2 linked regions of the Tamandua tetradactyla genome follow. The protein of the gene in region 1 interacts with the protein of each later gene in a pairwise test. Links are inferred from orthologs where the notes say so. Each region holds a gene or a part of one and is shown in the gene's direction. Other genes may lie near its edges.

Region 1 (8,316 bases):
CCTATCTGTATGTCTTTTATCTGTTGTGTGAACGCTGGAGAGTAGATTGTGTGCATCATGCTTCTTGAACAGTCTTTTTCATTTTACTCATGTTGGCGAACATGCTAATGGTATCTCATCATGATTTCAATTTGTACTTCCTAATGACTAATAATGCTGAGCATCTTTTTGAGGGCCTGTTGCCCACGTGTGTATTTTCTTCTGGGGCGTGTCTCTTCAAGCCATTTTATTACTGAGATGTAGGGTAGAAACCTTATCTATTCAATAAGGTCTTTGCAAGGGATGTTTTGCTAATACTTTCTGGAAAACTGTACCTTGCAGTTCTTTAAGTTAATGGAGTCCTTGGGAGAGTAAACTTTTTTTATTTTGATGAAGTCTGATTTATCAATCTTCTTTTATATGATCACTGCTTTCCGTGTCCTAAGAAACGGATGCCTATCCCCCAGTCAAGAAATATTTCTCTGCTTTTTTGTCTAGATTTATGGTTTTGCCTTGATGATCCACCTCAGACTAATTTGGGGGTATGGTGTGAGGGAAGGATCGAGGTGTATTTTTTTTATGTGTGATAACCAGCTGTTTCAGCATTGTTTATCGAAAATATTTTCCTTTCTCTGATACACTGGCCTCTGTCAAAAATCAATTAACCTTAAATTTTTGGTCAAGTTCTGAACTGCCTGGTCTTTCTCAATGATACATTTGCCTATCTTTATGTAATACCAGCTATCTTGATTATTGTAGCTTTATAATAACAAGGTTTGAAGTGTGATAGTATAAGTTCTTGATATTTTTAAGGTTTTTATTGACCGATCTAGACCATCTGCCTATCCATACAGTTTTAGAATCAGCTTGTCAATTTCTACAAAAAAAAAAAAATCCTGTTGGAATTTTGATTTGGGTTTTGCAGTGAATCTAAAGATTAAGTTTGAGAAACCATATTGGGTCTTCCGACCCATGAGCGTGCTATATTTCACCATTGAGTTGGGTCTTCTTTAATTTCTCTCAGCAATGTTTTTCAATTTTCAGGCCAGTCGTGTGAAAGGAGCGATGACAGGGCTTGCGGATGGATTGGCTGTAGGGTTGAGGAAAAGTCCCCGGGGGAAGACTAATGCTCAGGTTTCCGCTTTGGTCCCTGGGTACAGATGAGAAGGAAGGAAAGAGCTCCTCTTGTCCCGGATGTGAGGTGAGCCTGGTGACCCCAGGACCTTGCGCTCGACCATCCGAAACCTACCTTCCACCCTGGGTTGGACCCCCGGGCCACCCTTCCTTCCTCTGCTCTGCGGGCCAGAAGGCCCGGGATTCTCGCACCAGCAGGGTCCTGACAGGGCCACGGAGGGTCAGAAAGCCCCTCCCTCCCTCCCATCCTGGCTTCCCCAGCTGATGAGACTTGCCCTGATTCCCCAGCCAGGCTGCTGGGCGTGACCCCTCCTAGCAGGCTGCCCTGGGGTGGGGCGGGCTGGGAAGAGAAAGGGTCTCCTAGAGTCAGACACAATGCCCCTGTCACAAAGAGGGATGACCGCACGTGCGTGTGCAAGCGCGTGTGCATGTGGGGAAGGAGAGCAGACTCATAGGGGGGCCCGGGGCTCAGGGAGATCATAACATCCAGAGAGTCAGACTTGAGGAGAGAAGCACAGGGGGAAGACAGCCCAAGAAGACAGATGGGGGAAATCAGAAGTACAGAGCAAGGGAGGCGCCAAGGCAGGGAGAAAGACAAGACGTGAAGGGAAATTAACAGGGGAAGAAAGAAAGAGGCAGAGAAAGATGCGGGGAAAGAAAGATTGAAACGGGAAGATTGGAGGTTGAGAGGGGTAGGGGAGTTAGATAAAGGACAGACGGTGAGGCTAAGCTGGGGATGGGGCAGATGGAGAAATACAGCAAAATGAGGGACAAAGAGAAAGACGGGTGCAGGGAGATACAGGCTGAGCGAGAGAGACAGAAAGGGGGTGGCATGGGACAGAGAGAGATGGACCGAGACCCAAAGAGAGGTAGAGAATCACAGAGGGAGGGAGAGAGACAGGAGGTGAGAAGAGTGCACACAGGGAGATGGACCGACATGCCTGATGGACAGAAGAGAGACTGAGGCACAGAGACGCAAAGCCAATGGGCAGGGAAGACAGAGAGAGAGAGGGAGAGAAGGAGAGAGGAGAGAGAAGAGCAAAGAGGAAATGGAGAGAGTTGAAGTTAATAATTCACAACATAGAGCCGAAGAGACAAAGAAGAGTGAAAGAGACCAAGGCAGAGAAAGAGAAAAACAGGAAACTGAGGCAGAAAGCTGAAACAGCAAGGCAGTGCAGAAATGAATTTGTTGGCAGGCAGACTGCTGGAGCAAAAGGGGGACTCAGCAGAGGGGTCCAGAAAGTCCCTGTGCCCCTCGTTTTATCAAGTGATCTCCCAGGAGCACCCAACATTTCCCCTCCGTCCTCTTTGATGCATCCCTCATCCCCCTCCTTGGGACAATGGCCAAAGCTAGAGAGCCACCAGTTAGACCTAAGGAAGAACTTCCCTGAGGGGTGGGGGTGGGGGGGTTCCGGCCAGAGGCAAGAGCTGGGGCTGTCCTTCCCCGTCAGCCCTAATTGCCAAGATGTCTTGGAGGGGGATGGGAGAGGATTAAGCAGAGGGGTGCCCCTCCCCCTCCCGGCAATGTCACCTCCCGGTGCCCAGGCGCTCCCCCACCCTGGCCAGGATTACCCTCCGAGAACCAGGCCACGGCAAGTGACATCACTCCCAGTCGGGGCTTAAAACCTCTCCGTGGGAGGGGTCCCGTTTCCTTCGGTCTCTGTTCCCTGAGGACTGGTCCAGGACCTGGGCCGTCGGGAGAGTCCCCGATCCCTCCTTCCAAAAGGTGAGTGCGTGCAAGGCAGGCAGTGGGGCCAAAGGAAGGAGACGGGGATGGGGGAGGGGGTGTCTGCCTTCTTTGTGCCTGTGTCCCCAGCGCCCGGCGTGGGGTCTGACATAAAGGGGGTCTTCAATGTGGGCTGACTGAGCCCACCTGCAGCAGGGGCATCATCCCGGTGTTGGGAGAAACGGGGCTGGGCTGGGACTGCAGCAGGAGGGAGTAAGGGTAGACTATGGGGGAACTGCCACCAGGTAGAGAGGATTGGGGGGTGGTGCTTGCTGGTGAGGTGCTAAGGTGACGCTCCATCGGTTTTCAGGGACCAGGGCTCCTCGGCTCTGCTCACAGGCAACTCCGAAGCCTGCCTCCCTTTCTTTTAAGACTCATATCACTGCTTGGAATTCATACTCACTTGTGAGTTTATCCACAAATTATCTGTGTCCCTCACCGAACCCAGATTTCCTCCAAGGACCTGGGCATGTGGTCGGCCGCCTCTGTAATGGCTGAATAGACAGACGGGTGAATAAGCAAAATAGAATCCAAGAAATGCGTATGCAGGGGTCATTGAGATTTTGCGGCTGCAGCAAGAGGGAGTGAGGGTAGACTCTGAGCCAGTCCTGGGAGCTCAGGGGCCAGGAGGGCCACAGGCTCGGGGAGGGGCCGGGTCAGCCACTGACCTGCGTGACAGCCCCAGGGCCCTCCTTTTCCCAGCCTTGGTTTCCTCCTTGGTGACAACAGGACCCACCCCATAGGGGGCTTTCACTGGATTGCTGTCTCCTCCCCAAGGCCTGGTGCAGGCGGGAATCCCTGGAGGTCCTTATCGTTAACAGCCTCCTGACCTTGGCAGGCACCTTCCTGCCCCAGGGCTCAGTTTCTCCACCTACAGGAGGGGTTTATCTCCAGCTTTCACACTTAGCCTGCAGATCAAGCGCTCAGGGGAAACTCGGGACCCCTGGGACACGCGATACCTGGAGCTCTGAGAAGCAGTCTCAGGCCTCAAGGGCTGCTCCCCAGGGCAGGGGTCGCCCCTCGCTCCACCCTTTGGGACAATGAAATGTTGTCTTGGAATACAACCGAGACTGAAGGATAGTAAAACCTAGCCACTCGGGGTGCTGTCAGGCTCGTTGCAAATTCCTGGTGGAAGGGGGTGGCCTTGCTGAGATCTTGGACACAAAGCCTTTGGCTGGGGATCTGAGAAGCTCCAAACTCCTGGAGCTCCTTCTGTCACCGGCTGCCTCACCTCTTTGCAAAACCCACAACAAGAGTGTTAATGGGTGTTAGACATTATTTTTTGTTGCTAGTCTTTGCTGACATCTTGTCCACCCACCAGTTCCTGGATATCTGGTGAGTGTGTAAACCCTCAATTCCTGGAGGTCATTGCCATTAGCATTGCTGGACCTTGGGCAGGCGCCTTCTTCCTTCAGAGCCTCAGATTCCCTACTGGTGGAATGGGCTCATCCCAACGTCCTGGAAGGACAACTGCATAGCTGAGTAACCTGTGCAGATTCAACGATGGGGACAAGGGAAGTTGGTGCTTTTTCCCAGAGCCTGTTAGGACAAGTCCACCAGTTCCCCTCTCCACAAGTTCAGATCAAGCACTATTGCTCCTTGGAAGAGTGGACGAGGGCAGAAGGGTCCCCAGCTGGGAGAGCAGGAATCCCAGGTCCCCAAGATTCCTTTAGGAAACTGGGCAAGTCATTTTGCCAGATCCAGGAGTCTTTTCTCATCTGTAACATCTGGGGTGATGGGACGTTTTGGTGATGGATGGTGTCAACAGTCACACAACATTGTGAATGAAATTAATACACTGGATTGAATACTTGAAAGTGGTTAAAATGAGACATTGTATGTTGTATATGTGTTACCACAATAGTAATAATAATAAACAACCACTACAGAACTGTACAACATTAGCATGAACCCTAGTGTAAACTATGTACTTTAGTTAATAATTGAAATATAATAATATTGGTTTGTCGGTTGTAATGGTGAAATCTGTGTGTGTGTAGTATACGGGAATTCTGAACCCTCTGCATGATTTTTTCCATCAACCTACAACTGCTCTAAAAACTAAATAATCTTTAAAAGGTGGGCAAAATAATAACACAGTTCCTACCTCCTAGGGTTGTGCTGAGCATTTAATGGCATGCTGCAAAGGGGACGCTTGTGTATTACTTACCTATTGCTGTGTCACAAACTCCCCCAAAACTCAGTGGCTGAAAACATTAAACATTTATTACCTCATAGTGTTAATGGGGGTCAGGAATCCAGGGGTGGCTTAACCAGATGGTTCTGGCTCACAAGGGGGGCAGGCAGATGTGTACCAGGCTGCAGTCCTTCGAAGGCTTGATGAAGGCTGGGGGAGTCTCTTCCAAGGTGGCCTCTTGCGTGGCTGCTGGCAGGAGTTTCCCTGCACAGAGACCTCTGCAGGGTTGCTTGAGCATCCTTACAACATGGCGGCTGATTTTCCCAGCGATCCAGGAAAAGACAGCAAGGCAGATGTCACCAGGTCTTCTAGCCTCAGAAGTTAGAGGCTGTAATATTTCTATAAGATTTCTGTCATGTCCTGTTGGCTACGCAGGTCAGCTCTGCCATGGAGGCCAGTACTCAGGGTATGACGGTCAGGAGAGAATGGTCAGGCACCATCTTGGAGGTTGGCTACCAGGGCTGGATGTGTGGGATTCCGTGCTGTCATCGTCCTTATCTGCACAGAACTTCGTATGCCCGTCCCTCCTGGCCCTGCTGATTCGACTCCGCTTCCCACTTGCTTACTCTGCTCCTGTCATGTTGGACACCTTGTTTGTCCTCCAAGAAGCCTCCTGATCTTTTGCACCTGCTGTTCCTTCTGCCAAGATCTTCCCAGGGTGGGCGTGTGGGCTGTCACATCTCAGCTCCGGTGTCACCTCCCCGGAGAGACCACCCCCCCCTCAAATGGGGCTCCACTCCCACCAGATCTGGTCACCGTCCTGCCTCCCACACCCGGCATTTCCCTCGGCATTCTAAAAACCATCTGAAAACATCTTGATTTTCAAAAAATCTATCTCTTTGTTCATCGTCAGTTTCTCTGACTGCAACCCGTAAGTTCAATTGTGTGAGAACAGAAATGACGTGTGTTTTATTTCTCATGATATTCCCAGTTCCTAAAACAGGCGGACCCTCAGCGGTACTTAACACAATGAACAGGAGAAACTTAATTTCTAGTAAGTAGGACCTCTCCCTACTCCTGTGAAGGATAAGATGGAAGAGAGGGGGTCGTGGGTGCTAAAATAAATGCCATCCATTTTTTATTCATTTGTTTATTTTTCAAATATTTATTGGGGATGCTTGAACTAAAAGTTATGTCTAGTCCCTGCTGGTAGAATCGGGGGACAGACAGACAAACAAACATGTATGTCCTATTTAATATAGGGTATGTCCTGAATGACAGGAGAGAGAGAAAAAAATGTGCCGGCGTGTATGTGACGCCCAATGTAGAGGGTGAGAGATGGTGTCTGAGTGAGAGGGACCTGGTAGAGGAAGGGGGCTTATCTCAACCTTTCTGATGTGGGGAGCGGCTGAGGCCAATACCCAGAAAGGCTGACAGGTTTCCTGGGTCCATCTTGAGGGTTTGATGTTTGTCCCCAGGGCCATAGGGAGCTTGGAAAGTTTTCAAGTTGTGGTTGTGTTTTGAGATCTCCTTGTTGGTTTTGCATCTGCAAAGGTGACACACAGGCACACAGGGCTAAAAAGTAATCCAAACTGTAAAAATGGGGAGTGGATACAGCACACCTCTCCAGAGGCAATCAGTTCTGCCAATGTCTTGTTTCTTTCCTGGATTTTGTTCTATGCATATACAAGCATATATCATATGACACTTTTATACACATACAACAATCTTTAGACCATATATATATATATATAGTGTATGTATGTGCATATATATATATATATATCCACTGCCTTGTTTTTAAATTCACAAAAAGTAGCATATGCTACACACTGCTCAGTACCATACTTTTTATTTGAATATATGTCATGTATATATGTATATAAAATGTGTATTATATGTATTATATGTTATGTATTTTATATGTTATGTATAATTTGATTATACATAACATCTATTACACACACCTCTTATAAAGGTGTAATTCTGAAAAAGCTAAAAACTTGACTCTCAAATACCTATATAATAAACACAGGTCAGGGATTTATTTAGCTCACTAAGAAGGGAACCTGCTGTTTCAAATGAGAATTCAAGGAACAGAGGTTCATACAGTTATTCAAGAAAAGGCATGTAGAAAAAAAATTTGCCAGGTTCAACACAAAATTTGTTAAAGTTCTACAGGACAACCAATAAAACTGCAATCTTTGAGGTTATCTTTTTACCGGATAGAAATCATTTGCAACCAGAACTTCTAGAAGTTATCATCTACCTGACACTGTCTACCCCAATCAATAATAAATTCAACATTTCCCTAGAAAATGAAATAATCCTAGAGATCTTTGAAAATCAGTTCATGGAGAACAGCCTTACTCTTTTTCATGACTTCATAATATTCCCCTTGTGTGGATGTGCCATTATTTTCTTAATAATTTTCTCTTTTGCAAGTCTTAGAGGTTTCTGGCACTCTTAGGAAATCATAAATATCCTGGGTTTAAAATGCTTGTATAAAGGACCTGCTTGCAAACAACAACAAAAATAATTGCCTTACTAAGCATTGGGTGCTATTTTAAGCACCTTAATCGTGTTAATTCCCTTTAATCTTCACAACCACCTAAAGAGGTAAATGCTGTTTTCATCCCATTTTACAACAAGGAAACTGAGGTACGCCCTGAAGGCAAGTTACTGGGGCCAAGGAAATGTGGCGATTTACGCAATCCACACTGCGACCACCTGACACAGGGAGCACGCTTCTTCCCAAGGAGGCAATGCTAAGAGTTAGCGACCTCATATCTCAGCCAGCCTGGCAGCTCGCTGGCTTTCAATCACCCATCCCTGCTTACCGGACTGGCACAGCTTTAGCACTGAAAGCCCACCTGTGTCCCAGGACAACTGGTCAACCTCCGCCCTCTGTATCTGAAGCCGAACGTCTTTTCCTGTGGTCATAAGGAAGAAAAGATCTCAAAAAAGGGGAATGGTGGATCAGATTTTCATAAGGATAAAATAGTGATACAGGCTTCCATTTATGCTGCTTCTCTTAATTTCCAGGGTTGCTGTAACAGAGTACCACAGCCTAGATGGCTTAAATAATAAGGAATCTATTGTGTCCTGGCTCTGGAAGCTACAAGTCCAAAATCAAGGACCAGGCTTCCTCTTAAAGGGGAGAACCCGCTCCACGTCTCTCCCCTGGCTTCTGGTGGGAGGGCTGCATTCCATGGATTTCCTTGGCTTGTGGCGGCATCACTCGATTCCTGCCTCTGTCATGTGTCCCATCTCTCTCTGTGCGTCTGGGCCCCAAATTCCTCTCCTTATAAAGACACCAGTCGTGTTGGGTTAGCGCCTG
Region 2 (8,316 bases), on another chromosome or scaffold:
AACTTTTTTCCAACCTTTGTTAATACTTTCTGGGACAAATACAGTACAAACTACCACAAGAAGCAAAGTAAATATCCTTTGAAAAAATGATCATATCAAATACATTTAAACTCTGTAGTAATAGCTACAAATTAAAAGAAAGGTTTGAATTAAAAGTGTTTTCAGAATGAGAGCTTGTAAAATGAAATTGTCTTTCAAGCCCAGTCCTGTGCTTAAGTTTGCTTCCGATTTATATGTATTTTAAATGCCACTCTGGGAAGTTTATCTTAAATTTTAAAGATCAAATATCAAGAACCCAGGGAAGCGTCCAAAGCATGGAGTAGCAAACTGTGGCACATTCTCAAGCGAACCCGCGTCTGCCAACGGCTCACATTACACGGTCCAATAACTACACAATTATATTAAATATCTACTCCCTTCAACCAAACATTCATTGAAAAGTGTAATACATAAAAAAATATCTTTTAGAAAGTCTCTAAAGCGTTTTTATTTTTTTTAAACCTAGTTTAGGTTAACAGTCCTACTTTAGCTGCTGAATTTGAACCAACCCTTTAAATATCAGCATATTTTACAATTTTATTATCGTCGTTATTTATAAATATGGAAAATAGAATGAATTCAAAACCCCAGCTCCACACTCGTTTACTTTTTCCCCAGCAGAGTATTCAGTAAATGAATTACTCCGCCCACTGGGCGCTACGGAGTCCCCAGCTTCCCGGGCGCCTTAGGGGCTAGAATTTCTAAGGGACTCAGCTGAAATTGCAGCACCAGGGACCGCAGTTCTGGGCCCGGTGGGTTAAGGTCGCTGCAATTTTTATGCAAGAGGGGAAGGAGGACTGGCAAAACATCCCCCACCAACCTGAAAAGAACTACCTCGCTGGCTCTGGACATAAATTCTCCCGTTCCCTTCCTGTGCTTCGTAATGAGGGAGCAGAAGATTGTATCCTGCCTCGTTGTCTGATTGAAACTCTAAAGCAAACCTAAGAAGGCAGAAGCGCTCAAAGGGCCCGGGAAGGGCTCGACCTTTGGCGGCTGGGGACCGTGCCCCGCGCGCGGGATTCCCAGGCGAATACGCCAGGCTCTGCGCCCGAGCGGTGAGGACCTGGGGCTGGGGGACGCCGCGCCCTCACCGCCACCCGCGCGACGACGGACGACTCACGGCTCCCGGGAGTCTCCCCGGTCCCTCACCGTCTGCATCCCGCGTCTCGGGTTCGGACGCCGCACACGCAGGGCTGGAGCGCTCCAGCCGCGCTGAGGTTAGGGATCTTCACCGGGGACGCAAACTGCTGAACCCCGCCGCTGAAATCAATTATAGCCTCGTGGTGGCGACTCAAGAAATGCGTGCAAGAAGCTAGCAATCACCATCAGATCACCTGGGCGCGCGTCTCCCCCACCCTCCAACACGTGCGCCTTTGAGAAAGCGAGTACTCAGAGGTTGTCTGCAAGGCCCCTTGAACTTTTCGTTGCGTGAGTCTTCCCAGGCTTTTCGCAGGCCCGCCTTACAGTTTACTCTCCGCCTTAAAACACCTGCAGCCTGGTGGGCTGTTTTGGATTCATTAATACAGTAATAATGTATAGGCAAAAGCTGAAACTTCTTCCCATAGCGATCAGACTTGGACTCCAAATAGCGGATAGATTCCTAGTATTACAAAAGAAGATTTTTGTTTGTTTGTTTTAAGTACTGTGGCTATAACAAGTCAAAACAAACAAATATTTTCACCCACTTTGGCTTCCTTTCTGTTCACTTCCTTTAAGCAGACAAGAATGTGCACCAATGACAGGGTCTGAAGCGGGGAGGCCATCTGGTTATTTGCTCACAGTGGCAAAAATAAATGGATCTCGAGTTTTCTTTAAAGACAAACGAATGAACAAAAGTCCTCAAATCCAAATATTCCTTGCATAAAAATCGACTTGTCCTATAACACGTGACGTGGGTTTTCATGGCTTGATGTTTCAAGAAGATATTTGTTTACCTCAAAGTAGAACATAATATATGACCAAAATCTCTGTAAATCCAGGTTTATGCATTTGCCTCCAAGTTCACTCAAAACGATGCTAATTGCACAGTTCCCACTTTCTGGTATGCATGGTGTAAATATACCTAGATTAATTTACCTATTTTAATCTAAACCTAGGAAATTCGAAGGCTTGTTCTTTTCCTTTTGAAGTAATGGGATATTACAATATAAAAATAGTAATAAAGGAAAGGACAGCTGGCAACATTATAAATTGTTCTGAATTATTGCAAATACCAGGCAAGAAAGACTTAAAGGATAATTAAAACCACGGTAAAATACAGTTGAAAATGCATTTGTTTTGGGAAAAATAACACAGCGAAGCTTTTCTTATTAGGTAGAAATTTTTGCTAAATTATTTTCAGACTTTTGGGAAAATATTTTTCCAAACTCTAGGATGTGATGCATTCACGTATTCAAAAGACATTAAAGATAACAGACAACAGTGTCACTTATTTTAATTGTTATTATACTTTGATTGGATTCTTTTACTAACGTGTTTCACCCAACCATAATTTTAGGTCAACTTGAAACATATCCTCTATTTGTTCTCAAACTAAACGTGATGGAGGCTTTGTGACCTTGTATTTTGGACACCAGAATCCATTTAGAAAAAGCATGTGATTAATGGTTTTTGCCTTTAACATTAAAAAGTTATATTTGTTCATATTTTTTAAGGGTAAGGACTTTCTAGGAACTTTCTGAAAGCATACAGGCAAGAAACAGTCTAATAATGTTTGTAAGAAAACCAGAAGTTCATCTCTGTGCATTCTCAGAGGTAACTTTAAGTGAATATTTTTAAAGGTGCTTTTAAAGCATTTTTTTTTTTTACATGGGCAGGCACCAGGAATCGACCCGGGTCCACGGGCAAGGCAGGCAAGCATTCTTACCTGCTGAGCCACCGTGGCCCACCCCTTTTAAAGCATTTTAAAGTATAAATTATCTGAAACGATCACATTTGACAAAACATCAATTGCTGAGAGAGAGAGAGAGAGAGAGAGAGAGAGAGAGAGAGAGAGAGAGAGAGAATTGTTAATTTTGTGTTTTGCAGCCCAACAACAAAAAGGAACTGAATGAGAGGAGTTGCTGGGACCTTCTTGAATCCAAAGGTTAATATGAGTCTGTGGCTCATAATCCTGGGTGAAGAGCAGACGCATCTCTTCGTTTCCACCTACACCTTCACAGCGACCAGCTGAGAGCGCCCCTAATCAGAAACCCTGAGAGACATGGCCGTTCAAGGAGGGGAACTTTGGGGGACAGAAGGCTGGGGAATGAACAGATCCACATTCCAGGACTTTTCTGCTGTGCTTAGGACAACTCCAGGTTAAAACTAGAGGAAGAAGAAAACGCACGGAACTGCCCCAAGCTGGCATTTCCCCCGGCGGGAGCTCGCCACTGGCGGGCTGCCACGACATACATTTCGCTGTCCCGTTGACTTTTCTAAGGAAGCGTGCCTATGCCCGTGATTCTGGAGGTAAGAGGATCGCGAGCGTGGAGCAACTTCGCCTTCTGGGGCTTTTTTCGCACAGACGCGCCCGCCTTTTCCTGCCTTGGCCAACACGAGGGGCTAATCCTGCGAGAGGCACCGCCGCATGCGCCCCGCAGCAGAGACCTGCGCAGGGGTAGTCGGTGCGCCCGGCTCGAGCTCCAGGCGGTGTCAAGGTCAAGGTCAAGGACGCCGCAGACTTCGGGTTTGGCGGAATGCGAGCCGCCTTTAGGGGCCGGTTTACCTGTGGCTGGAGCTGGGGACCCAAAGGACGCGGCTGCCTAACACCGGAGCAGGGAGTACATTCTGGAAGCCCATCTTTCCTCGCTGCCCAGCGCCCAGGTGTGACCAAAAGAGCAACTTAATTTCTTCACTCGATTTCCTTTATTGGGCGCCTCCAGGAGCGGGAATCGCCCCAGATGAGGAGATGAGGTGAAGGTGAGGTGATCAGGCAATCAGTCGCTTAGGTGCCCAGGTGAAGAAGGCCTCTTCCCGGCCCTGGGGAACCCACAGCATCGTTTGCCCTCTGGGACGGGGCCCTCCAGCCCCCAGAAAACCTCCCGAGCCTGGCATAGGAGCAGATATGATTTTGTCATGGTATTTCTATGACCATACCAATATTGGCGATTTTTAAAGGGTTGTTTCAGGTGGATGGCAACCAAGAGCTCACTGAATAACAATCCTTCGCTTAAAAGACAAGAAACTGAGGCCCAGAGGGAGCCCAGGCAGGAGGATGAGCTCTGGATCTGGAGAGACGCTCTGGCCCAGCCTGGAGCCGAGAAACTCACCTCCACCCCCACCCACCCCCACCCCCGCCCCTTTCTCACGCTACCTTCCCCAGGCTCACCTCTCCCCGCCTTCCCTCACTTCTCCTGGCTTCACTTTCCAGGACCCTCTTCCCGCAGAGCAGGTCCCTCTGCAGGGCCCGGCAGCGTGGGTGCGCCTGGGCTCCGCGCTCCCGTCCACGTTCCCAACAGGCAAGCACGGGTACAGGGGCCCAAACACGGCTCACCGCCAACCCAGAAGGGTGCGACCTTCCGCACGCCCAGGGCCCCACGCACGACTCCCCTACTGTCCCAGATTTGTCTTGGCTCTGAGAGGACTAGGCTGGAACACCCCTGCTTCAAAAACCTCCGCCTGAGTCTACTACTCACCTTCGGAGGAGGGGCTCTTTAGAAAGAAAAAGAAAGAAAGAAAGGGTTTAAACTTAGATGAGATAATCTGATCTCCTCACATTACCTTCCACCCCCACCCACCCCAAACCCCAATCTTGGCTGCAGGTTCCCTCGCCCCAAGGGCTCTGCTCAAAGCCCCCCTAGGTTCCTGGCGCTGGAGTGGAGGGGAGGCGCGGTGGAGGTGGGGAGGGTGGCGAGGGTGGCGAGTTGAGCGCACGTCTATATAAAAGTGCTGCAAACCCGCAAGAAGCGCTGTAGCCGCCGAGGCTACGGGTGGAGACCTTTCAGCACCACGAGGGAGGACAGGGCTCCCCTGGGTCCCGCACCCTCGTCTGATACTTCGGATTTCTGAACAAATTGCAATCTTTCCATCTCTCACTCACTTGCTCGCTGTCTCCCTCCCTGCTCCTTTACCTCTGTCTCCATCCCTATGCAAACATATCGCGCACGTCCACGCGCACCACTTTCTTTTTAAAGAGAGTCACCCAACGCACCTCTGGGTTTTTGTGTGTGTGTGTGTGTGTGTATCTTTCAGGATCCTGGGCTGAAAGCGCGAGCGAGGCGAGGCAGATGCCGGCCGACGACGAGCGGAAGGCAGACTGCGTGTGCCCCTACGGGATGAAGCTCACCTGGGACATCAATGATCCTCACATGCCTCAGGTACATGACACCGGGTGTGCACGCGTGCGTAGCGTTGTCCACCCAAACAATGGGGCCTGACATCCAAGTCCCTTAATTCTGTGGACAGACACCCCCTACCCCCCACTCCTACCACCTTCCCTTCCAGCCACAGATCCACAGCCCTCAAATGTAGAGAGAACTCCAGACTCTAAAGATGGTAGGATTGAGTTTGAAGATATATCATCTCCTAGCTCTTTCCATGCACTTGCCCGAAACCAGACGGAAAAGGGAACAGGACAGGTCAGGAACTGTCCCTCAGGCCCCACGTCGGGGAGGGAAGAGTACGCCTTCCCTTCACTCTCCTTTGAGCAAGGTTGGCTTTAGGGGTAGAGATCAGCTGCCTATCCCCTTATCCATTCTTTGAAATCCATGAGGAACTGATGGGAAAAAATCGCTCTGAGTGGAATTACTTCTCAGCAAAACAGCGAGCGACAACTATAAATCGCGGTGACCCGAATTGTCAACAACAATAAAAAAACATGACTTGGGCAATTCATTCAGTCGTTCCCGGCAGGTGGGATCAAGCAAGGCTTCTTAGAGGCCCCTTTCTCTTCCTAATCACACCAAAAGCCCCCCAAGAGCCTCTGAAGTTTAGATTTTGGACATAAATTCTGAGCTCAGTCCTTCTCCAACAGCAAGAAAATCTTCATCCTTTTAGAGTGAATTAGATTTTTTTTTTAATGGCCCAAAGTAGTTTGGGACCAAATCCAGAGAATGAGCTAGGCAATGCGCTGACCGGACTGGTTCAGGTTTTTAAAAACTGAACAACTTTCTTTAAAGTCCTGAGTTATACTTGACAGGAGACAGAGTGGCTCTCCAAGCACTGACAAAGAATATGCAATATATCATAGGGATGGTATGATATGCTTGCATTTATTCAGCATCATTATGTGTCAGCGTTCAGATGGACAGCAATTCATTAGAAGGTTCTGTAGCCTTTCAAAGGGATTAGCCTTCTTTTGGATATACCTGTTTGTGGTTTTCTTTTTGCTTGTTTGTTTTAAAGTTTGCTTACTTGGGAGTCATACTGTGCCCTTTTTGTGCAGTTGACCACAATACATATGTGCTTTGCATCCTCACCAGCTTCTGTCTACTTAGTTGTCATAAGAAACCAATTTATAGTAGCGGGTTTTTTGTCTGTTTGTTTTTGTATGCTGTATGGTGGGGTTACATTTCATTATTTCTCCATGTGAGTATCTCATTGTTGCAGCACCATTTGTTGAATTTTGTTTATTTGTTTGTTTCGCTTGTTTGTGTTTTCGGGAAGTGCATGGACCAGGAATTGAACCTGGGTCTCCCTTATGGCAGGCAAGAATTCTGCCACTGAACTATTCTTGCACCTTCATAAGAAACCAATTTAATATTGCATTTTAAGAAACAGGCTTGTATCCAAATAATGTAAAGATGGCTCATTTCAAGTAGCTTCTAGACTGCCTATGTTAATAAGAATTATTTTCCTTTGGGGGACCAGATCTTAAGCAGAGAGGGTGTGGAACTTGTCAGGAGGGAAGGGATAGGTACCCTAAGAGGTAGAAAGAAAACTGCAGGCTGAACTCCTAATCCCAGCCCTGCTCTGGCTCACTAGGGGAGAGAGTGTACGGACCATATGACTTTGAGAATGTCCCTGAACTTGCCTTAGTCATAGGCTGCTCACCTGTCATCACGTGGTGGAACTAGATAACAATCTGAAAGCTTCCTCCAGGTCTGCCATCACTTTCAGAGTGTGTGTGTGTGTGTGTGTGTGTGTGTGTGCATGCGTGCCCACACCAACACATTACAGCTAATGAAACCCAATCCTGGACATCCTTCACTGTTTTGATTTTTAAAAATATAGTTTTTGTGGCTTCACCTCTATGGTCACTACCTCATTAGCTGGTGTGAGACATGTGGACCTGATCCGCACCCATAAAAGAACTAAAAGAACACCCCCTTCTGGAAAATTGACAACTTGTAACTAAGATCCTCAAAGTGAAATATCTGCCTTTAAAACAAAGATATTTACATTTGGAGTTGATTTCATCACTCTATAATTCATCATGACTATTAATTTATGTCAATGACAATGTTTCAGAGAGACACTAAATAAGACCTGTTATCAATAATAATGATTTCAGTGTCATCCTTGTGGCTTTGGAAAGAAAATCACCCTTTTACCTTACTACTGTTAGAACGTAGAATACTGAGGACTTGTATGCAAGTCTGAATTGGCCAAGCAAAGAATGCTTTTACTTTGCAAATGTTGCACCTAATTTCCCTAGGGTGGTGTGAGGGAGAGGAGGTGAAAACAGCTTACCGCTGGGCCTCTGTCATGCTGCTAAAGCACGTGGGGCGTGGCTGCCACATATCTTCTGTTTAAATTCCAGTTGTGCCACTGTGGAAGGTTATCTTCTCTATTAGATAGTAATAGGATGCCCACATTGCAGGGTTGAAGTGCGGATTGCAGATACTGCACAAGAAACCCCTACATCAGCACAGCCACACTAACTCTGTAAAAAATTCTGTCATTGCAATGCAAAAGCCACAGTAGACAATACCTAAACAAATACCCGTAGCTGTGTTCCAGTAAAGCTTTATCTGTGGATACTAAAATTTGAATTCTACATAATTTTCATGTGTCACAAAATCGAATTCTCCTTTTGATCCCCCCTCAACCATTTAAAAATGTAAAACCAGACTTAGCTCACAGCCTGCACACAAACAGGCAGCAGGTGGGATTTGGCCACTGGGCTGCAGTCTGCACCCCTGCCCAAGAGAGTGCCAAGGAAATAGTGAGTGCTCAGTAAAAGGGAATTTTGTATTAAACTCATAGACAAGAAAGATCTTTACTGTAGTAAAAATGATTCATAAAGTATATGTAGGCCATCAAATGTGAATAGTAAAGCAGGGCTGGATAATTTAGAGGTAACTTGGTATTTCAACCATGTGGCTTTTTGTTGAGGAGAATGAGGACCCCATGCTG

Evidence for each region.
Region 2: the proteins of CRX (region 1) and GCM2 interact in binary tests that used the Homo sapiens proteins (3 or more experiments, as listed by UniProt). The link is inferred for Tamandua tetradactyla from reciprocal best matches to the Homo sapiens genes CRX and GCM2.

What each region holds. Positions count from the first base shown.
Region 1 is NC_135342.1:13,270,619-13,278,934, forward strand, and holds the start of CRX (cone-rod homeobox protein), read left to right. Parts: upstream 1-5,139; 5' UTR 5,140-5,283; coding exon 5,284-5,339; intron 5,340-8,316. UniProt on the Homo sapiens protein: Transcription factor that binds and transactivates the sequence 5'-TAATC[CA]-3' which is found upstream of several photoreceptor-specific genes, including the opsin genes.
Region 2 is NC_135351.1:13,859,093-13,867,408, reverse strand, and holds the start of GCM2 (chorion-specific transcription factor GCMb), read left to right. Parts: upstream 1-5,246; coding exon 5,247-5,336; intron 5,337-8,316. Other genes in the region: SYCP2L (synaptonemal complex protein 2-like), read right to left, coding at 860-980, 1,189-1,299, 1,395-1,639, 3,368-3,430. UniProt on the Homo sapiens protein: Transcription factor that binds specific sequences on gene promoters and activate their transcription. Through the regulation of gene transcription, may play a role in parathyroid gland development.